Linked DNA regions of Tribolium castaneum. The protein of the gene in region 1 binds, or shares a complex with, the protein of each later gene. Links are inferred from orthologs where the notes say so. Each region holds a gene or a part of one and is shown in the gene's direction. Other genes may lie near its edges.

Region 1 (3,968 bases):
TAAAAGGGTCAATAAAAAACGTTTCACTTTTAATATTTATTTTTAAAATTGCTAAACCACATTTTGAACAACAAATTCCACGGTCTGGCCTTCAACTGTGGATGAAATATGTCATAATTCACATTTTCCAGTCTTTTTAAGAACGCAAACGTCGCCACCGCTGGCAACAAAACGCTCCGTCCTTCAGGTGGAACCTTTTCTTGTAAACTTCGTGCTTTCATCAAATGCTGATGAGCCCTGGTTGCTACTTCGTAAACACAGTCACTTAAAGGCTGCGACGATTTGTGCCGAAGCAATTCTTCTTGACTCACGTTATTTTTGACTAGAATTGATTGAGGCAGTGGCACAAAGTTTAAATTTTTACACTGTGGTATACACCTAAAAAATTAAGAACGCTGATGATATTTAATAAATAAATTATAAGTGGGACATTTACCGTAAATTTTGGACAATTCCTTGCGCTTTTCCTAAGTGAGAAGCTGCGTGATCTGCATTAATATTTCTTATATCGCACCCTTCCAGGATTAAGTAATACACACTTGAAACCGATCGTTCTGAGTACGTTTCCATATCCTCCAATTTATGAAAGGTGTTTAAGTTAAAATGTTCTTTCCGGGAGAGAATGAGGTTCTTTAGGTGGCGTTTAGATAATTTATTCCGGCTTATGGCCTAAAAAACAGCCGTAAAAATTGGCGCTTATAAGCGAACAGAGAATTCTTTTCTGAATTTCTTTTTAATTACGTTGAATAGTTCTATCGCGACTGGATGTCTGGGCACTTTGTCACAATTCCCCGAAAAGCATTTCTCTAAAGCGTCTTCCCAAAACTGCATCCTCATTAACCCCGTTTCTTTGGTTGAGACTTGCTCAGCCACACGAGCAACCTCAACGTTGAAACTCCTAACAGCGAATGCACATGATCTCGATTTGCCTTTTAATAGAAGTGTACTAAGAAAATTTTCGTAATCGTAACTCCTAAAATTGAAAAAACTTGGTAAACTGCAAGTGGTTCCCAACACGATTTACTTTACTAAATTCATGCAATAATTAGCGGTTGTCTGTGAGCTGCTATTTCTCACGCCGATGTTCTTCCGAGTCATACGAATCTGTTTGAGGAGATTCATTTCTTATAAAATTAATTTTTTTCATTGAAAAAAAAATGTTGGGTTAGGCGAACTTAACCTCACATTGCCACATGACACCAATAAATGACAGCTCAAAAAATAAATAATCCTCGAAAAGTGCATTTTCTATCAAATGTAAACATCAGATGTGACCCGCTATCGCCTGATTAACCCATTTTGTGGTATGCAGAGTGCCTAAGTCCATTTCTAATAACAGAGCGTGTCTTTTAGGGTGTAAATTAGTTTTGAAATAAGCATACAAATTGAGACACACCATGGCTGCGACCTGGAACAATGAGTATTACATCGCTTTGGAAGGAAGAGATTTGCAAGCAAATGCTATGGCTGTTGATAATTCAGGAACTTATGTTTTATTAGCAGGGTATGCCTCTTTCTAACGTCTAAATATGACATAAACCCGAACAATTGTAACATTATTCTTTGACCTGGTAGCATTTTTAATCTGTATTCCATTAGGCGGAGGTATATTGCAATAAGAAATTTAGATGAAGATCTGGAAGTTGTTCAAAAATTTCCAAGACAGAGCAAATATGATGTTGGAGCCGCTGAATGGAACCCTACTAATCACAACCGGGAGCTTTGTGTGATATCGGTAGGTTTTTTTAAAGCCAGAAAATGCTATCTTTTTGTTTTTGTTTTGTTTTGGGAGATTTTCCAGCCAGAAACGCAAGATTTTGTTAAATATACGCTGTAAAATCACCCAAATAGGTCAAAAGTCAAAATTTTTTAAATAAATTCTGGTCAAAAGTAATGTTATTCTGCTTTTCTTGAGCATTTAAGCACGTTTTATAGAGCTAAAGTGTCAGTTTTTTTCCGAATTTCCGCTAGAGGAGACTGAAAAATCACCTATTTAAATCCAAAATTATCAAATTTTTTTTGGCCAGAACATAATTATTTTGAAAAATCACCCACTTACATTAAAATGGGTTTTATTTTAGCCTTCGTCAAGTCTTTGTAGAGGTGAAAACTTAAGTTTTTTTTCGAAAAATTTACCTAACATTGGATGAAAAATAACCGATTAGATCGAAACTGATGTTATCTGGTCTTTAGCACAGTTTTTTTAGCCAGAAATGGAAATATTTGCAAAATTTTATTCAAATCAAACCGAAAATCAACAAAATTACACCCAAATTGAGTTTTTTCACTCAAAAAATTTCGCTAAAACTCTAGCTACAGCTGAAAAATCCCCAAATTTCTGTCAATTCAATGCGTTTTTGAGCTCGAAACTCATTTATTTTGTAAGAATTAGTCAAAAAAACGCTTCAAAATCTCAAAAATAAAATACAACTGATGTAACTTTGTTTCATTCGATTTCGTGTTTTTGGGCGAAATTTCGTCAAGAATAAGCTAAAAAATGACGAAATCTGGCCAAACAAAGGTTTTTCGTATTCTATTAAAGCTAAAACACGTTTTTAAATTTTTTACCTTAATAAACCGAGATGAAAAACTCATTTTTTTTTTATTTTGTGCATTTATATGCTTGTTTTGTTATACAGCAAAATTTAATCGCACATTAAAACTTATTATTTTGCATCAACCGAATAATTAATTAATTAAATTCGCAAAGAAACATTTTTTTTCTTCTCTCAAAGTGTCAAAACGTCACATAATAGATCTGAAAATTGTAGGAAAAAAATAAAAGAACAATTTTTGTAGATAATTGCATGATTTACAACTTTAATGTCTGACCTATTTATATGATAAGACTTACCGTTTACGAGAACAGTGCAAAAAAAAACAATACTTTTCAATTTTGATATTATAAAATTTTTAGCGCACGTAGGATGGGTGTGAATTTTTGATATTTTATTTATTATTATGTTGTACCAATTTTCTGCGAATTATTTATATATCAAAATGTTTTTTTTTGACCGGACTGTTATAATAACAACGAATAATAATGAGAAATATACACTAGTGTGTTGTAAACAGATTTTATTAACCATTTTTGCTGGTTGGAGTGACTTTATAAGAAAAAAACAACTTTTTTCATGAAAACATTGAAGTTTAATGAGCACTTTACAAATCTCCACGAATATGATAAGTTGTTGTACGTTTTCTTAGAGCAATCAGCGCTTGGAGGTCCTGACTTGGCGTTCGCAAGAGCTAATCCAGACCCACTCCCTCCGTGCCCACACTCGCGTCATAACCGACTTAAACTGGCACCGCAGCGACCCCAGCCTTCTGGCCTCCTGTTCCGTGGACACTTTCATCCACATCTGGGATTTGCGCGACGCTCGCCGTCCCTCACTATCCCTCTCTGCAATAGCAGAAGCCTCTCAAGTGCGATGGAACAAAATCTCATCGCATCTGCTTGCCACTGCACACGATGGCGATATCAAAATTTGGGATCAACGCAAAGGAACCGCTCCAGTCCAGTACGTGGCGGCGCATTTATCGAAAATCCACGGCCTGGACTGGAATCCCAACGTCGAGACGCAATTGGCGACGTCCAGTCAGGACAATACTGTGAAATTTTTCGATATGAATAATCCACGAAGGGCTGAGTATGTTCTGACGACGAATGCGCCCGTGTGGAGGGCGAGGTTTACGCCGTTTGGGAACGGGCTGGTGACGGTGGTGGTGCCGCAGCTGCGAAGGGGTGAAAATAGCTTGTTGCTGTGGAATACGGCCAATAGGTCCACTCCCATGCATACGTTTGTGGGGCACAGGGATGTGGTTTTGGAGTTTGAGTGGAGGAAGCAGAGGGCGGGGTCGTTGGATTTTCAATTAATTACGTGGTCGAAGGATCAGACGTTGTTAGGTAAGGGAATTTTTATAGGGCTCAAAAAGTCACCCACCAACTCAGTGACAGTTTGTACAAA
Region 2 (4,169 bases), on another chromosome or scaffold:
TGTGAGAGTAGTGAGCTAAATGGGGGGAACTGTGGACTTACCTTAACTGCGACGATAAATATCACACACACTTGCACGTTTTTTTAATAAATCGGGTCATTTTATTTTGTAATTTGGTAAACAAAAACAATAAATGGTCATTGAACGAAACGCGGGAAATGTCTGAGTGACGGTGCTACCAACCTGTAGGTGTAACAATTTGAGCAACTTCTGAAATTAAAAATTTGTCGGGAAAAAAGGATTGTTTTTTGAAATAGCCTTGCAGGACGTTGTAAAGTGTTTGATTATTTTACAAGTGGAAAAACTATTGTGTTTAAAAAATATTTGGGAATTAGATTAACTAGACACCCCCTGGTGATGACATTTCATACTATTCGAAAACAATAACGAAATTTTCTTAATTCCTTATTTAAATTCCGACTTTAGTATGCGCTTTAGCTTTGTTCATGCGGTTATTCGTGATTAAAATTGTAATTTGTTGGAATTTGAAAATGGACAAAACGTGAAAAAGATTTAATTTTTGGTTACAAAGTGTTACTAAAGCAATTACACTGAAAAAATTGTATTGTATAATACTTCTGAAAATCTACAAAACCGTAATTGAGATTAAGTACTGCAATGAAATATTAATTTAAAAAATGGTCGTATAATGTTTAACATAGCAAACAAAGAAAAAATATACAGATAAAGCATTAAATTCTTAACAGTAAGACATAAACAACATGCAAATGTTTTGTCGTAAAATATATTTTTTTGTTGGTAATATTTTATGCCGCATACGCTCGTTACATAACAACAGTCCTCGGATTTTAAGCTTGTGTTTTTGCACTCGTATTATTTACAAAAAATATTTTTTTACAAATTTCTTCCTAACATTTTGCTTGTCTCATTAACCGTATTTGCAGCGTCTTGAAAAATATGTAGCGAAGCGCAAATTTTTTTATGTTAAGTATTTTTTTGTCATTATTCTTATAAGAATTTGAGTTGGCAGTTTTTTTCAGTCTGTTAAAAGTGCGAAGCTCAACATTTCTGCATTTTTTTCCAAGGAAATGATGAATTGGATTTAAATTAATTTTAAACAATTTGGCGCCGAGAGGTATAACGCTCAAAGCGCCCTCATTTTTTTTCTACCGTACTATTTCTTTGGGTTCAAAAAATCCAGCGATTTTGTATTTCGTTTCGTTTCCTAAGTTATAGCCCTCCTTAATTTAACCATAAATTGTTGCAAAAGGTAGGTTTTTCAATGTTTTTGTAATAAGTTTTCGAAAAAGTAAGTGAACAAACAGTTTATTTCTGTTTTTTTTTTGCGTTATCTTTTATTTGTGAACATGTATTCTTTGTACCAATGATACAATAGTCAGTCCACATAGACAATGCAATTAGCCACAAAATTTGTACAATGCTCTATAAATATCCGAATTAACTTTTACCGCCATTTAAATTCAGTAGTGGCGCCGTACAGAAACCTGTAATTGGATTCTTGTTCAATGTGGATGTTTATTTATTCCAGGTTTTAAAATAAATTTTTACCAAAAAAAGCTTTACCGGGCTAATTCCGCAATTTTCAGATCTATGGAATTATATTTCACGTCAAATGTTACGAAACGTACAAAACATGGAAAATACAGGTTATGTCCTGAACAACTTTGATCACACAAGTCAGGAGGGCCCCATTCGGTGCATTTTTTTCTGTGAATTTCATCCAACAGCCGGGCCTATCATTTCGTGTCAAGTAAACATTAAAAAAAAAATGTTACGTGATTTTGCAAGTGTGTTCCAGGAACCAGAGCAGTACATTTCAAAGGAACTATTCGACAGTATTAGCGTTTACATAATCACGAAAGCGGAGTTACAGAAGAGTACAATCACTGTGTAAAAAACCGAAGCGAAATCGATGAATTAATTGCTTGTTGATTTTAATTTTAGTACTCTATCGGATTATAAAATATTGGGGTTCCCGGTCCGCATTGACGACAAAAAATATCCCCGGAACGCCTACCACTTCAATCTATGCCTAGTGTGTGACAGTAACGTCCGAACCGTTCATTACGAACCCGTCGTTATAAAACTATCAGACTACCTAATGGCAATGGAAATTGAAAGCAGTTTTTTATCGGACGGTAAAGCAGCAACGAAACTCGCCCCAATTTTGAAGCAAGTTATCGAGGAATTGAACACGAAGGGGGAGTGCGCCCTCACGGAGGGCCCCACCGCCACCCATCTCAAGGTCGTGCACGTTCGCAGCGACCCGGCCCCCGTGGCCGACCACCAGGTCCCTGTCTTCATCAAGCCCCTCCCGGACCAGCAGTGGGACTTGACCACGCAACAAGTGGCCCCCTACATTGACGGCTTCAATCACGTGGCCCGAATCGCGGCCCTCTCCGATGTCGAAAATAATTTGGTCAAGGCTTGTGTCCAAAACCTCGTCTATTACGGAGTCGTTGCTTTAGTGCCTTTGTTCCAATACGGGAATGTTTATTGCACGACGCCGCAGTTAAATATTCTGGCTCACGATGTCAATTTACAAGTAATAACAATAACAACTCATTAAGGTTGAAGGGGAACACGTTTCACTGTGTTTCTAGGCCGTCAGATGGCGCGGAATTAATTTTTTATTATCGAAATCGAAAAAAGTTTTGATCACAGAATCGTAATTAAATTTGCGCTAACGTATTAGTTTTTTATTTTTTGACGTATTTAAAAAAAAATTCATGAATTTTTAAAATAAAAAATATTTTGTAAAACCAAGGTAGGACGACGAATATTTGCTGAAAATTTAACTCCAATATCTAGAAGTCATTTAGTAAAGATTAGTTTTGTCTGCCTATTATTCATTTTCCTTCAGATGATATGCAAAACTTCTAGAAGTATAGGTTTTTTCTGTATCTCTATGCACTCGATTTTTGTTTCTACACTTTCTTATATTAATTATTATCAATGAATTGAAAATATTAATAGTTGTATTAATAAAATTAAAAATATGGAAACATTAACTAACCAAACTGTCGTTCTAAAAAAAATTAAAAGAAGTTCAGGTACGTACGAGTAAAAAATTACTTACTAGCAAACGCTGAATTCTGGATATTATACGAGTAGTTTTTATTTGTTTCGTCGATTAATTTAGTCCCTTTCAGTTTTTTTGTTAAGCTTTTTCTAGGAATGGGAAGCAGGTGTACAGTCACTATCAAAAAGAGTAACACCCCTAAAATCGCTGTCATAATTATTTCGATATGATATGACATTACTTGCAGTCCGCTCAGCTTTTTCAATCTCCCATTATTAGAAATCTTCATTACAATTTTTTTTACCAAAAATAGTCAAATTAAATTTTAACCTATTTTATAATTATTATATATTTCATTAAAATTTTAAACAAAAAATGCCATTTTTTTTTCAAAAAAGTGTTACGTTGGCACAAATTCTAATTCTTTAATAAACTGAATTCAACTTTTTGATTTAAAATTGGATTACAAAAATCGCCAAAAACAGCAAAATCATTTTCATTATACTTGTCTTTATCGCACACTTGATTTAACTCTGTGTCCCCTTTAGCCTTAATTATTTATAACTAGCAGCGAAAGAATAACTCGTTTTTAGAACAAATGTTTGAAGTATGTGGCGGTGTCCCAAAGACAGTTACCCAATTTTCGCGACGTTTTTCGCATGTTTGCCGCCATGACAAGGGGCACGACCATGCGGGACTTGTGCCTGAGATTTAATCCAGCTAATTTGCGAATAAACGAAAGGAAATTGGTACAGATTGGAGTGTTGGAAGGTCTGATTCGACGGGTTCATAAGTATCCGATTTTGTTGAGTGATACTTCTGAATTACAAAAATCGCTCTCGGGGGCGGCTAATTTGGATGAGATTTGCTGCGCCACTGGCGTTGCCACGCAACAACTCGAGGACCAGCTGGAGAGAGACCACAATATCGTCCTGTTGTGGAAATGACTGTGATAATAAAGATTTGCTTAAAAATGATTTGTTTCCGTAGCTACTGTTGCTTTATTTCCATGGTTACGATTGAGTATCCATGACAATCAAATCGTTTAAACGTTGACGTTTTTATCATTTAATAAAAAAAAACTATAAACCTATAAATAATGCTGCCATCAAGCATTCAAATTTTCATACAATTTCATTGTACCAAATTTTTTATTGCAAGTTAA
Region 3 (4,014 bases), on another chromosome or scaffold:
GATATTTCAAGGAACGGTAAATACTCATGTGTACAAATTTTATTTATACAACTCATTTTGGAAGCGGTGTTTTTTACCCAATTAAAAATAGTACTTAGTTAAAACTGTACTTAGAGTTAACGATTTTTAATAAACTGCAACAATTAATCAACACAAACGCACATACACAAGACGTATCCATAAAACACTCAGTTTGTAGTTTATTTAGCCAACAAGTTTGACAATCGTCGATTAGTCGCCGATTAGCAAACGATTAAACGAAAAGTAAATTTAGGGTACTTCTAGCATCAAGGAAATAATTTACTTTTTCAACTTAATTCACTCATTAGAAATAAATGCATTCACGCACGTTAAAAAAATTTCGATTAATTTGGTGCCTTCACCGATTATGACCACCAAAACTCCGTTTTGATAAATAAAAGCCAAGCCAATGAGTCATTTTTAATATTTGATTAATAGAGATTGTAATGTTATTTACTTAAAGTTGTATATTATATTTTAAGATGTTGTTTGTTTGAAAATACAGTTTTTGTGATCTGATTTTAAGTTGTTAAATAATAGATCTGAAATCAAGAGATGTTAGCTGTTGATTACGAAGTGATGAATGTATAACAAAAATTAATAAAGCTTTAGAACGTGTGATTGTTTCGTTGTTTATGCCCAGAAATAAAAAATGATTCTCCCAATTTCAATTTTTTGGTGATTAATGGAAATCTTATTGTTTCTTATCGCCCATTTGTTTGTCCAATTATCTCTTACATAAATAGTGATTTATTGTAAGAACATGGAAATTGGCTTAGTTGTTGGTTTCTTCTACTGTTGAAGTCGACAAACTGAAAATGTTCAGCATGTAAGTATGAAGACAACAAAAATATAAAAGTACAAATGTTCGGTATTATTAAAAATTCAAGTAATATTCATTTTATGAGTGCACTTGTTGGTGTACGTTGCCGATAACAATTTAAACGACTCAAAATACAATCGTTTTATTAATTTTTTATAAAAATCACAGTTTATTTCTCCCCAACCCCAATTTTATTAATTAAAGAAAGAAATCAGAAGTAGAACAGACAACTAGGAGGGCACCTTTAACACACATCGTGTTTTTATCAAATGTAACCCTTTTTAAAGTAAAAAATTAAGGAATTTGCCCTGTTTCTCAAAATTACTCTTTAAAAAAAAAGGATTTTAAAGGTAGATTTGATTCAAAGTTTTCGCTCGCGCCGTGGAATGGCAGTGGCACCAACGCGAAGAACCAAAAGAAAACAAAAACATGACCGTAACCTCAAAGCCAAAATACATCGCAAATTCGCCAATTGTTAACCCGTTGCCTTTTTACTTATTCTAAGTATTTAATTACCGTTTTAGCTTCCATAAAATGTCCTCGAAACTGGAAATCCAGTGGACCCCCATCACCAACAAATTTATCACGTGGGGTTCCGAAATTTGCTTGTACGAGGTGCACCAAGACCGCGATAACGTTTTGCAAAGTATTAACTCATGGCCATGATCCCAATCTTACGAAAAACTTGCAGATATTAAGCTATCAAGCACGACTTCCGCCAATTTACTGGCGACAAACACCAACCACCACTACGTTAAATGCCTGGATGTTTACCCAAAATCCGATGCCGATTTGTTGCTAGCTGTGGGTTTATCAAATGGACGAATATCACTGTCGACATTCGGCCCCACGGAGTATGACGCCTTGGGGTTGACTGGGAAAGAACTGGTGCCGAGACATGCAAGGCAGTGTAATGCCGTGTGCTGGAACACAATTGAGACTAGTTGGGTGGCTGCCGGGTTAGACAAGTACAGAGCGGACAATTCCGTTCTCATTTGGGACATTATGAAGTCGTCCCAAAACAACGAAAGCAATTCGGGAAGGATGGCGGTTAACACCATGGCCCCAGGGGTGGAGCTCGCAAAACCCATAGCCGAATTTGGGGTTTCCGAAACCGCCCACAGCATGGCCTGGTTCAGCAGCAACAGCAAGGTGATTGCTGTCGGGATGAACTTGAAAAATATCAAGTTTGTCGACATCAGAGGTATTCTTAGTCTTTTTCTTTCTCAATTATTGTGTCTCACAATTTCTTAAATGTCTTTCCATTTGTGAAATATCAAAATCATGTGTTAATTGATATTCCCTTTCTTTTCCAGTTAATTTAGTCGATTTGGATGAATTCTTTTTATGTAAACAAAGGCCATATTTTTTCGTTAATCTAATTAAAAATAAATATATTTGGAACAATAAAGCGTAACATACATTATATTATGTGGATATTTCTTACAATCTTGCAAGTATGTGTCCATATTTATGTTCAACATAATAATAATAATAATAATAATAATAATAATAACAGACCTTTATTAAAGAAAAATGGGGGCGAAGTCTAGTCAAAGACTATTCACCTCAACTCCCCAAAAAAAGAATTATAAAGATATATAAAAAAATATCAAACAATAAGAAAAATAAAACAAGTAATATAAATAACTTCAGAAAGGTACAAATAGAAAACTTAAAACTAAAAAAGAAGCAATAGAGTAAATATGGAAATGGAAACGTAGCATGCGATGATGAACACCATAATTAACCATGGAGAGCAAGAAATCTTTGTAGAGTGTACGAAATTTATTCACCGAAACATTCAACTGAAAGAGTACAGTGGAGTTAAAAACTTTAACACCATTATAAGTTAGCGAGCGTTGAAAGATGGATGAACTAAACTGAGGCATAGAGATTTGTGTATTATGATGAATGTTGACATTGTGAATGCTATTTCTAAATCTAAATTTTTTCTAAGGTAGAATGGAGACGAAGTTGTCATAAGTTTAAACATAAGTGTACCCAATTGGTGTCGATACATATTTTCAACTTTCAACCAACGTAGGTCGAGTATTTTAGACAAAACATGATCGTATTTGTTCAAACCAAAAATGAACCTACAACAACTATTTTGGATTTTCTGTAATTTGTACTTTGTGATATTATCTAAGCAGGGATAGTATAAGATTAAGCAATATTTCATAAATGACATAACTAAGGTTTCTGTTAACTTTTTACGTAATTTGAAATTCAAAATTAAATAGTTCGCGTATAATAACTTAAGAGCAGAATATGATTTTTTAGGACCATATTAACATGAGATTTAAAACGACAATTTTCCGGACACTGAGGTTTTTATTTTACTGAACATCACACAACAATATTACTCCTATGTTCAATTTTTTTCTTTCTTTCACATATACTTCTGTTACATTCGACTGCATAATAAAACGAACTTCAAAGGTATAAGGTATATTTCTTCTCGCGGGGACGAATAAAATTATTTTAACTGAATAATGAAAATTCTACAAAACTGTTGACTTTAGACAATGAAACCTGGGTCTTTTTGAACATCGCATAGTTTTTTTTGTCGATGCTCAGCACTTCTTTTGGCAGTGTTTTGAGTTCTTCTGTATGTTGAATAAATTTTCGTGTTTGGCAAAACATTGAATTGTTGTCCCAAATTATTTGCCATTGAATCATTTATTCATCAAATTGATTATTAAACCACGTACTTCGTTGCTTATTACACCAATTGTAAACCATTACCACAACGTAGTAAAATAAATGGGAAAATCATTTAAGAAATTGTGAAAAAAAGGAAGAAAACTAAAAGAAAAAAACTACGTGAGTCTAAATAAGAACACTTTTATTTTGACTCACGCTGTGGTCGAAGATTATTCAATAGTTACTTGTAGATCCTAACAAAATCACAAATTCTACGCTAACCAAGGCCGTTTTTGGCGTTTGCATGGACCCGAACGACGACCGGCATTTGGCGTCATTTTTCGAGAATAATATTTACGTTTGGGATACGAGAAATTTCGAAAAACCCATCCTGACGCTGCACCAGAACAAGCCTGTGATCAAAATTGCCTGGTGCCCCACAAAGTACATTCCCAATCGTGCATAAAATTCGAAATTTTTGTTTATTTCCTTAGGTACAATCTTTTGGGGTCTTTGCAAAA
Region 4 (3,252 bases), on another chromosome or scaffold:
AATTACGGAGAAAACCAATCACTTTTGAATTTTTGATTCATTGAAAAATTATAGTTTTGGATATGATTGGTCCATTTAAGGTCGGCCATTAAAATAATGTGGGAAACCAATCACTTTCAATTTTCGGACTCATTCCATAATTTATTAATGGGAATTGTTCAATGGTTTATTGTTCTTAGTTTAAATTTAAAAAAGGCAGTCAATAAATATATCTACTTTGTTTTAAATGGTCTCAAAAAAAAATTAAAAAGCAAGATAAAATAATGTGACTATTTTATATTTGAAAACTATTTTCTTAACAAAAAATTATTTCAGAATGTAATCTTTCGGATAATCGATAAGTTTTGGAAATGATTTAACTTCTTCTTCAGTATAATGGTCTAGTCTCTTTGGCATTGGTCTAAGTTGTCTTATTTGATTAGAAACGTTTTTCATCAAATCTGCCGGTACATTTTCATCAGCAAAAAGATGCAGCCTCTCCATTGTGTGCCGTCTCTGCAAATTGCCGGCCATGCTTTTATAAACTGCTTTTTTGAGAATCTAAAAAAATGTTTACACTACTTGGTTCATAAGAGGAATGTTAATTAACTAATTTCGGGTCCTTGCTGTGTAATTCCCAAGCTAGGGTCCAAGACGCACCCCCAGGATAACCCGTGTGGTGAAAATAAGCCCGTTTCTTCCACTCTTCTTCAGGCATCGCGATCTCATTAGTGTTTATAACAATTACATGGTCACCACAATCATCTGAAACTGATATTGAGCAAAGAAACAACACCCGTTTGCCTTAATTACTCATTGGGTGGTAAATTGGTTTATATAAGCCCATTAAATACTTTTTTATCAGTTGCGCGGACTGAAATGGGTCCTGCCAAGCGGCATCGTACACATGCCATATCCTTGCAAAGGTGGCCCATTGCTACAATCCATAGACAATTTTATGCAATTTTACGACCAACTGTATTTACCTGAACCCTTTTTACCACAGACATGCTTGTTATTATTGTTACTTTTTTGTGACACTTTTTAGTGAGGTTGAGTTTTCATAACCTTACATTTGTTATGTAAGATCCAGCGTGCGGTCTAATAATCACGAAGCCGAAACAAAAAATTGTATTTTTAGTTGTTAAAACTTGATTGTTTTTGATAATTTTGCAAGTTCTAGACCTGTAAAAACTAGCTAAATAATTTCTGAGTAAAAAAGCTTGTGAAAATGATTATTTTTCACAATTTCGATAACTTGGAGATTCTACCGCAAAAACTCAGCGTTCTGCGCAAGTACTGACGCTTTGAACTTTAGGGGTTATGTTTAGATCAGTTTTGTTGATTATTCGTGAAATAAAAAATGTTTGAGGCCCAGGAAATTAATGCCGAACACAAGGACCTAATCCACGATGTTGCGTACGATTTTTACGGCCAAAGAATGGCCACTTGTTCCAGCGATCAATACGTTAAGGTTAGTTAGCAGTTGCGTTTTCAACTTATAAGGAAAAAAAGTAGGTTTGGGACCAAAACAGCGACGGCAAATGGACTTTAACATCAAGCTGGAAGGCCCACAGCGGCTCCGTTTGGAAAGTGACTTGGGCCCACCCCGAATTTGGCCAGGTTCTGGCCACTTGTTCCTTTGACCGAACTGCCGCAGTTTGGGAGGAAATTGGTACTTTCAGTAGTTTTTATCGAGTGTGTATTTAATGTGGGTTTAAGTTGGTGAGACTCCCGGGCCTGGGGAAAGAGGGACGAGGCATTGGGTCCGTCGGACAAATCTGGTCGATTCGAGGACTTCCGTTACTGATGTGAAATTCGGGCCACGGACGCAGGGTTTGCAGCTGGCGACCTGTTCAGCCGAGGGCATTATTCGGATTTATGAGGCGCCCGATGTTTTGAATTTGAGTCAATGGACTTTGCAGTTTGAAATCCAGTGCAAATTGCCGTGCAGTTGCCTAAGTTGGAATCCTAGTTTATCAAAGTATTTTTTGCAGAATTGTTAGACGGTTTGTAAATGGTGTTTTTAGGATGCATCCTCTGATGTTGGCGGTTGGAAGTGACGATCCAAATCCAGCCAATGGAGTCAAAGTTTTTATTTATGTTTACAGTGAGAGTTGCCGGAAGTGGACGAAAATGGATGCCATAACAAACATTACAGACCCCGTCTACGATCTCTCGTTTTCTCCTAATTTAGGCCGCAGTTTTCATGTTTTAGCCATTGCCACCAAAGATGTAAAAATCGTTAATTTACCTCACGTTTAGTAAGTTTTACATTTTTCGATTATTGTTTTTTCTAATCATTTTTTTGTAGCGACAACCCGAATTCGCAGAATGTTATTACAAAATTAGATGCACAAATTGTTGCCCAATTTGACGATCATGAATCCACCGTCTGGAGAGTCTGTTGGAATGTTACAGGAACTATTTTGGCTTCAAGTGGAGACGATGGTTGTGTCAGAATGTTTAAAAGTATGAACTAAATTGTAAGCTTATTTATCGTAAGAATAATTTTTTTTGCAGTGAATTACATTAACTCGTGGAAGCCAATAGCAGTATTAAGAGGTGATGGGTCACAAGTTTCTAATGAAGGTCAAAGATCATCAGTTTCTTCAACAGTAGGGCCGCAAATCCAAAGTGCGTCACAGACTGCTAGATATATTAAACTCGGTGCCATTTCTCAACCAAGAGACGTCCCTTGGCATTAATTTTTAAATCCGTAAAATGAGAACAAGATGTATTTCACAAAATACTGAATAAACTTTTATTTTAATATTTGTTTTTTATGTTTACCTGTTTCACAACTAATAATAAAAAGTAAAATACACAAAGTGATCAAGAATCAAATACTTCCAATAAGATTTTAAATTAATTAAATTGAATTTAAACTTCAAAAATCTCCTACGAACATTTTTTGAACAAACAAAACCTTGGTAAGATGATCGATTCATTGTAGTAAAAATACTTAAAAAATCAAAACCAAATAATAATTTTGCGGTTTTGTCCTAAAGTTATTGATCATTCTTTTAAATTTTGTATTTTTGGCTCTCGAGGAGGGATAATAAAAAAAACACCAATAAATAACATGAGCCCTGTTTTTAAAACTACAGTATTTACCTATCCCGTGATCCCCTTTGCGCTTTTGAATATGCTGGGGACACTTTCCCCCGACTTTTCGCCTTTTTCGTTGGATTTTGTAGAAATAACATCAATTAGAAATGTCAAATTGTAAAAGTGCGCGCGCATGCGCTTTGATTTTCAACATGTCATTTC
Region 5 (3,145 bases), on another chromosome or scaffold:
AGTTTTTGAACAATTGATTTATTCCGTGATACTTGTATACATTTAGAACAAAATGTTCTAAACAAATGTTCTAAACTTTCAATGTGAATATAATGACATGGTTTAATAATTTATTAAGGGTTCCCATTTTACACCCAATGATCAATAGTTTATTGATGGGTATTGTGTCTGATTGACACTTAGAACATTTGGTAGAATTAAATTTTTTTTTGTAAAATCTATGTTCTAAATTGGAACGTTATTTTCACATAGAAACCAAATAATAATGGAAAATGTACAACAAGCATATCTTAAAAAAAATAAAAATGGATTTTTATTATTATTATGGTGGATGTGCCGGGTTAATTTTTCCACAAATTTAATATAAATGATGTATATGCCAGAAAATCTGTAATAATTTGTTATAATAATTGATTCTTTTTAAACGAGCTACGCTTTTACTTCAAATATGTTAAAAAAAATAAAGAAATATATTCAAAATAGTGCTTTTACTTAAAATTTTGCAAGTAAATGCTCTAAAATGTATAAGTAAAAATGGAAGTACATATAAGCTTTTACTGAAAGTAAAGCATTTTTTAGCAATTATTTGCTTTAAAGTCGAGAATATTCTCAAAACAAAGTGAATAAAATAAAGCAAATGCTTTTTTCATTAAGCATTTACTTCAAAATTGTTGTTACCTTCGGTAAAAGCTTATACAGAATGGAATTTTTAACTGGAATAAAATTCTTTGATTTAGCCGATTTTAGTGAAAATTCCCGTAACAGGTCAATTTTTATTTTTCCTTGCCTACTGTTTCATGTATATGGTTTTTGTTTATTTGTTGTCAGAAATGCACAGCCACCTCTAGCTTTAGGCGTAGGCTTTGGATATATTCGTTACATTTGTGTAACGTTAAAAGTGGCTGGGCATTTTTGAAAACAGATAAACAAAAACAAAAACTGATGTGCAAAAAAAAACAAAAAACAAAAAAATCGCTTATATCCAAGTTACAAATTTTATTTTAGTTAATAATTCCATACTGCTTTAATTTTTTATAACTTGGGCATTGACAATATTTAGAAAACAAATAGTGCGTTTTACTGCTTTCGAACCATGTTCACTAAATGAGGGGAAAGGAAAAACAAAAAGCGATCTGTTTCTGTTTTTTTTTACAAAAATTGCCTATATTCAGGTTATGAATTTTATTACAGTTTAATAGTATTCTTTCTAAAATAAGTCACTAGACCTGGAAACCTTAAGGACACAAATAAACTATTCAATGTTGCCAACATAAATAAATAAATTCAAAGCGAGCCGCGTGTCCAGTGCCTTATTCTCTACTATGTAGGTGTTTGAAGGCTTTACGCCCTTACCACAGTTTATTATTACTGCACCCCATCCAGCAAATGGCCGATTTCACTGGACTGGATGGCTCCCCATCCTTAGAACGAATGCTAAAGCAATATTCTCCAATAAAAAACTTGCAAACTTTAGCAGCCGACGCCGACTTGACCCTCCACCATGTAAACGGCGTCCCACATCGCCAATTAAATAAATAAATAAATAATTTCAGGTTTTTGAGCTCACAGCTCATTTAGTTTACTGGGCTAAAGCTACAGTTATATTCCCCATTTGCTTGACTAACAAATATGTGATAGCTCCAGACGCCCCCATTCATCTGAATTCACCTCTGATTGACAAATTCTCAGAGGCTTTCCCCACAGCGAATTTAATTCGTGTGATTAGCGATTTCGCGCTACCGACCTCTTTGGGCCAGAAGTGCAACCCGTTGTGCCATCCGGCCCAACAGTCTCATTTAGTACAGACTATTATCTGGATGTTGCAACACCATCTACTGTTGCAACTGCACACTTATGTGCAGTATATGCCAACAGATCACGGGTTGGCAGTGCCCAGGGAAAAGGACGAACGGATCGTTTCACAAAGAAACATAGGGTATTGTAAATCAAGTTGGCGTCATTATTGGTTGCGTCATTTATTTGTGCTTAGAAATGTATTGTCCTCGAGCTCGTATCACCCGAGTACGTCCGAGCACTCGCGAGCCGAGTCCGAAAGCGGCACGTCGACGGTGTCGGAAACGCCCGAGCTTCGCAGCGAATCAGATTTGATCAACCGCAGTATAAAGTCGTGTTGTGTTTGAAATTTGGGTGTTTTTTTAAAGTTTGCGTTATTTTAGTCTCGAAAATGTGAGTTTTACGTCGGTTGAGGACGAAAAACAGGATTATCAGGAGGAGTTGCTGTTGGATTTTCCTGATGAGGAACGCGGGAATATTTTTAAAGTAGGTGTAGTTACTGTTGTAACTATTACAAAAAAAGTTTGTTTAGATACCGGCAACTAATAATCCAGAGGATTTGCGATTGTTTGCCCGATTGTGTCGCAAAGGTTATTTTCATGGGAATCACCACATTGAGGAGATAATGTATTTGGAGAACTTACGGCGCAGTCAGTTGTTGCAGCTCTTGGATAAGTTTAGGGATGTTTTGATTACGTACGAAACGGAGGATCCGGCTATAGCTATGTTTTCATACACGTGAGCGTGTTGACTATTATTCATTGTTTTCACTAATTATTTTATTACAACTGTTACAATCTTCGTATTTTTGTAGTTAATTTTTTACTGGTTGAATAAAGAAATTACAAGTTTGTGGTTGTCTATTAAATAATAAAATACAGAATTTTCAGTACAGTATAGATTAGTGAATCTTTAACACATTTTTTACCTCTACTGAGATCATTTTTCCTCTGTGCCTTATGTATAGTTTTTTTTTTTAGTTTCCAAAATTAAAGGATTTGTAATTAACAAGGTTTAATTTTGATATTACATCTCAAAACATGGATAACTATTTTATTTATTCTTCACAGGTGTTTGAGGGTATTCATAAAAATATTTCTTTGCTGTGTACAACGGTTAAATCCTTTAAATTACGCATTTTTTGTTGAGGAAGTACTGGAAAGATCTTCAACCGTGTCTTGAGTATTCTCCGCATTAGTGTTATTGTTGGTCTGAACCTCGGTCTGATGAGATCTTTGTTGCTTAACAAAAAATATTTGTATATTGAAGGACCGGTTTATAGAAAGCGCCATTAAATTTTAATTTGTTGTTAAAAGTTAACAACGCGAATGAACCAATCAAGTTGGTTCAA
Region 6 (2,966 bases), on another chromosome or scaffold:
TGACCGTGTACCATAAACCGCAGAAGATTTTCAAGTCGATTGAGACACGCACGTGGTAGGGGACGTCATACTCGCTACAAAAAATTTGTTACTTGTTTTGGGAGCCCAAATAAAAACTTTTAATTTTTTTTAATTATCACCATTTCTTTAAGCTTTAAAAAGTGCATATTTTTTTATTTCAACTGAAACAGCAGTAAAATATAGCTGCTCTATGTATAAAACTGTATCTTCTATTTAAAATTATTTATAAGAATATTAACTCTCAATAGTTTTAAAGCATTCTAAAGAACATCTATTAGAAATTTGCGATCTGTGGGAGTATTTGGCTGTAGACAAGCAACTTATCTACACTTATCCACCTTCATGAAACTTTTACAAAACCGTAATACTAGATCTAATCAGCATTTAAATTGTTACTTGGGTCCTTTACCGAATATCGAGAATATTTTCCATCTGATCGGTGTTAGTCTTGGTGGTTTGGGCCGCCTTGTCTGCTAAAATGTCCGTCAACATTTCGGTGTAATAGGTGTTTGAGCTTTCCCTCTCTTTGTTCTTTTTCACAACTTTGAGTATCTCCTTCCTGACTTTAATTAAATCAGTTTGGTTGAAAAACGACAATTTTATGTACTTCTGTTGCAAACCAATCAAATGATTTGGCTGAAAAATCGCTCATAAGTTTAGCAACAACAATTGCTCGCTCTACCAAATCCAAATCCTCCTTTGTGACAACTTCAATTTTGCCAATTGTCCCCGAGAATTTTTTCGTAAGGAACTGGCTCACTTCTTGAATGAGCTCAATTTTCGTAAGAATGTAAAAATAAGGCATGTAACAGTACGACACTTTAAAGCGGGCGCCGTCCTCTTCCATGAAATAGAAGTCAACAGCCGCCACCAACCTCTTATCCTCATCTAAAATCTCACTCTACTCAGACATTATCAAGCCAGCCCCTGGTCCATAACCACGTTACCGCGTGCATGTTTAACAAAAATCCGGTCCTTTCTAAGTTATCCCGCACCCGCTCGAAGCCGTATTTTGCGTCAATCGCGTCATTTTCAATCACTTGGCGGAGTCTCACCTCCGAGGTTTCCTCTCTAAGGCAAAATACTTAAAAACGGGTGAATGTCCCTGGCACGTACCGTGAGAAGTCCGTGGGCTTTTTTGCCAACTTGGGGTCCCGCTGGGGCCGGAACTTTTCGTTAATTTCATCCATTATTGCAGACTAACCTGTTGACAAAACAACATGACTTTCGCGCTCATTTTGACACTAGGGGAATTTCGGGTCAGGTTTTTTCAAACATCAACATAACCTTTTTCTTTGGGCTATTTATCACGTAGTTTTGGCCGAGTCGCCACTCTTTAACCCAGAATTTGTATCTGATTGATAATTTGGGCCCCAAATCGGCCAAAACTGAACGAATTAGAGGCGACGTGAGTCGGTTGGTAACCGTGTGTCAAATGTCAAGCCACGTCTGTTCCAATTTCTGGTAGTTTTAAACTGGGAAAATGGTCTCAATTTTGAATTCTATCGACACGGGGCACGAGGACATGGTGCACGACGCCGAAGTGGACTACTACGGGCTGCGCCTGGCCACGTGCTCGTCGGACAACAGCGTCAAAGTGTACGACATCAAGAACGGGGGCACAGCCCTGATCGACGACCTCAAGGGCCACTTCGGGCCCGTGTGGCAGATCGCCTGGAGCCACCCCAAGTTCGGGAACCTCCTCGCCTCCTGCTCGTACGACCGCAAGGTCATAATCTGGAAGGAGCAGAACGGGAAGTTCACCAAGTACTACGAGTACGCCAACCACGATTCCAGCGTGAACTCGGTGCAGTTCGCCCCGCCTGAGTACGGGCTCGTGCTGGCCTGCGGCAGCAGCGACGGCTCGATCTCCATCCTGAGCTACATCTCAGAGACGCACAACTGGGACGCGAAGAAGATCCAAAACGCCCACGCCATCGGCTGCAATGCCGTGAGCTGGGCCCCCGCCATCACCCCCACGTCGGGGGAGTTCCGGGACGCGGCCAAGCTGGTCAAGCGGCTGGTGTCCGGGGGCTGCGATAATCTGGTCAAAGTGTGGCGGGAGGAGGAGGACCGGTGGGTGGAGGAGAACAAGTTGGAGGTGCACTCGGACTGGGTGCGGGACGTGGCGTGGGCCCCCTCGGTGGGGCTGCACCAGCACACCATCGCGAGCTGCTCGCAAGACAGGAGGGTCATCATCTGGACGAGTGACGATGGCAACAACTGGAACTCAACGGTCCTCCAGACTTTTGACGATGTTGTCTGGAATGTCAGTTGGTCCCTGAACGGGAATATTCTGGCCGTGTCAGGGGGTGATAACAAAATCACGCTTTGGAAGCAAAACTTGCAAGGGAATTGGCAGTGCGTCAGTGATGTGGTTAAGGGCCAGGGACAGATCAATAACCAATAGGTGTATTTTTTAAATAAAACGTAATTTAAGTGGAACTGTTTATTGAGTAAACATATTACAAAAAACTTAAATTATTTCTTGGCTTTGGCCTTGCGTTCCTGCGCACGTTGGCGTTGTTTGGCGGTGCTCAAGTTGTGCCTCTTTGAGAACCTCTGGTTCTTCAAAAACTTAGAGTCCATCTGAAAGACACTTATAAATTCACACCAAACGAGTATTTTTTGCATTTTTACTCACACCAAGGGTTGATTCGTGACGGAACTGCTTCGGTTTTTTAATACCGTTACGGTGGGCCTTACGGTCTATAAAACTCGAAAATTTTGCAAAATTACAAAAAACGGACACTAAACTTACTTTGGTTGTGATTGGTGTGGTTCTTTGACTTGGCCATGTCTTGAAAATTGGGAAATTAACTCCACGAACAAGCTTCCAAGATGGTTGGAAAAAGAAAGGTTATGGCCGACCACGTTGTCACAGATTCTGGAGAATTTTAGATTTGTTAGGTTGGTGGTCTCGTGTAATAACCTCACTTTTGGTT

Evidence for each region.
Region 2: Wdr59 (region 1) and Nprl2 share a complex: the UniProt entries of both Drosophila melanogaster proteins name them as parts of the GATOR complex. The link is inferred for Tribolium castaneum from reciprocal best matches to the Drosophila melanogaster genes Wdr59 and Nprl2.
Region 3: Wdr59 (region 1) and mio share a complex: the UniProt entries of both Drosophila melanogaster proteins name them as parts of the GATOR complex. The link is inferred for Tribolium castaneum from reciprocal best matches to the Drosophila melanogaster genes Wdr59 and mio.
Region 4: Wdr59 (region 1) and Nup44A share a complex: the UniProt entries of both Drosophila melanogaster proteins name them as parts of the GATOR complex. The link is inferred for Tribolium castaneum from reciprocal best matches to the Drosophila melanogaster genes Wdr59 and Nup44A.
Region 5: Wdr59 (region 1) and Nprl3 share a complex: the UniProt entries of both Drosophila melanogaster proteins name them as parts of the GATOR complex. The link is inferred for Tribolium castaneum from reciprocal best matches to the Drosophila melanogaster genes Wdr59 and Nprl3.
Region 6: Wdr59 (region 1) and Sec13 share a complex: the UniProt entries of both Drosophila melanogaster proteins name them as parts of the GATOR complex. The link is inferred for Tribolium castaneum from reciprocal best matches to the Drosophila melanogaster genes Wdr59 and Sec13.

The regions. Positions count from the first base shown.
Region 1 is NC_087398.1:3,160,692-3,164,659, reverse strand, and holds the start of Wdr59 (GATOR2 complex protein WDR59), read left to right. Parts: upstream 1-1,168; 5' UTR 1,169-1,304; intron 1,305-1,353; 5' UTR 1,354-1,397; coding exon 1,398-1,504; intron 1,505-1,599; coding exon 1,600-1,735; intron 1,736-3,207; coding exon 3,208-3,907; intron 3,908-3,968. Other genes in the region: sicily (NADH dehydrogenase (ubiquinone) complex I, assembly factor 6), read right to left, coding at 30-378, 437-669, 742-973, 1,025-1,122. UniProt on the Drosophila melanogaster protein: A component of the GATOR complex, which functions as a regulator of the amino acid-sensing branch of the mTORC1 signaling pathway.
Region 2 is NC_087399.1:8,014,952-8,019,120, forward strand, and holds Nprl2 (GATOR1 complex protein NPRL2), read left to right. Parts: upstream 1-1,369; 5' UTR 1,370-1,510; intron 1,511-1,568; 5' UTR 1,569-1,594; coding exon 1,595-1,732; intron 1,733-1,780; coding exon 1,781-1,872; intron 1,873-1,926; coding exon 1,927-2,527; intron 2,528-3,597; coding exon 3,598-3,951; 3' UTR 3,952-3,978; downstream 3,979-4,169. UniProt on the Drosophila melanogaster protein: An essential component of the GATOR subcomplex GATOR1 which functions as an inhibitor of the amino acid-sensing branch of the TORC1 signaling pathway.
Region 3 is NC_087395.1:14,780,426-14,784,439, reverse strand, and holds the start of mio (GATOR2 complex protein MIOS-B), read left to right. Parts: upstream 1-1,214; 5' UTR 1,215-1,318; intron 1,319-1,368; 5' UTR 1,369-1,378; coding exon 1,379-1,490; intron 1,491-1,535; coding exon 1,536-2,048; intron 2,049-3,744; coding exon 3,745-3,937; intron 3,938-3,987; coding exon 3,988-4,014. UniProt on the Drosophila melanogaster protein: An essential component of the GATOR subcomplex GATOR2 which functions as an activator of the amino acid-sensing branch of the mTORC1 signaling pathway.
Region 4 is NC_087396.1:12,237,278-12,240,529, forward strand, and holds Nup44A (nucleoporin SEH1), read left to right. Parts: upstream 1-1,197; 5' UTR 1,198-1,342; coding exon 1,343-1,453; intron 1,454-1,497; coding exon 1,498-1,654; intron 1,655-1,701; coding exon 1,702-1,963; intron 1,964-2,009; coding exon 2,010-2,243; intron 2,244-2,293; coding exon 2,294-2,451; intron 2,452-2,502; coding exon 2,503-2,687; 3' UTR 2,688-2,752; downstream 2,753-3,252. Other genes in the region: mRpL13 (large ribosomal subunit protein uL13m), read right to left, coding at 307-540, 590-744, 793-916, 966-989. UniProt on the Drosophila melanogaster protein: Probable component of the nuclear pore complex (NPC). Involved in maintaining the localization of another nucleoporin Mgtor to the nuclear envelope of early meiotic female germline cells.
Region 5 is NC_087395.1:17,468,561-17,471,705, reverse strand, and holds the end of Nprl3 (GATOR complex protein NPRL3), read left to right. Parts: intron 1-1,328; coding exon 1,329-1,503; intron 1,504-1,553; coding exon 1,554-1,936; intron 1,937-1,990; coding exon 1,991-2,125; intron 2,126-2,177; coding exon 2,178-2,280; intron 2,281-2,326; coding exon 2,327-2,536; 3' UTR 2,537-2,645; downstream 2,646-3,145. UniProt on the Drosophila melanogaster protein: An essential component of the GATOR subcomplex GATOR1 which functions as an inhibitor of the amino acid-sensing branch of the TORC1 signaling pathway.
Region 6 is NC_087396.1:21,704,731-21,707,696, forward strand, and holds Sec13 (protein SEC13 homolog), read left to right. Parts: upstream 1-1,441; 5' UTR 1,442-1,504; coding exon 1,505-2,431; 3' UTR 2,432-2,466; downstream 2,467-2,966. Other genes in the region: PolE1 (DNA polymerase epsilon catalytic subunit 1), read right to left, coding at 1-74, 431-657, 704-922, 969-1,092, 1,138-1,211; RpL29 (large ribosomal subunit protein eL29), read right to left, coding at 2,503-2,610, 2,666-2,730, 2,783-2,819. UniProt on the Drosophila melanogaster protein: Functions as a component of the nuclear pore complex (NPC) and the COPII coat. At the endoplasmic reticulum, SEC13 is involved in the biogenesis of COPII-coated vesicles.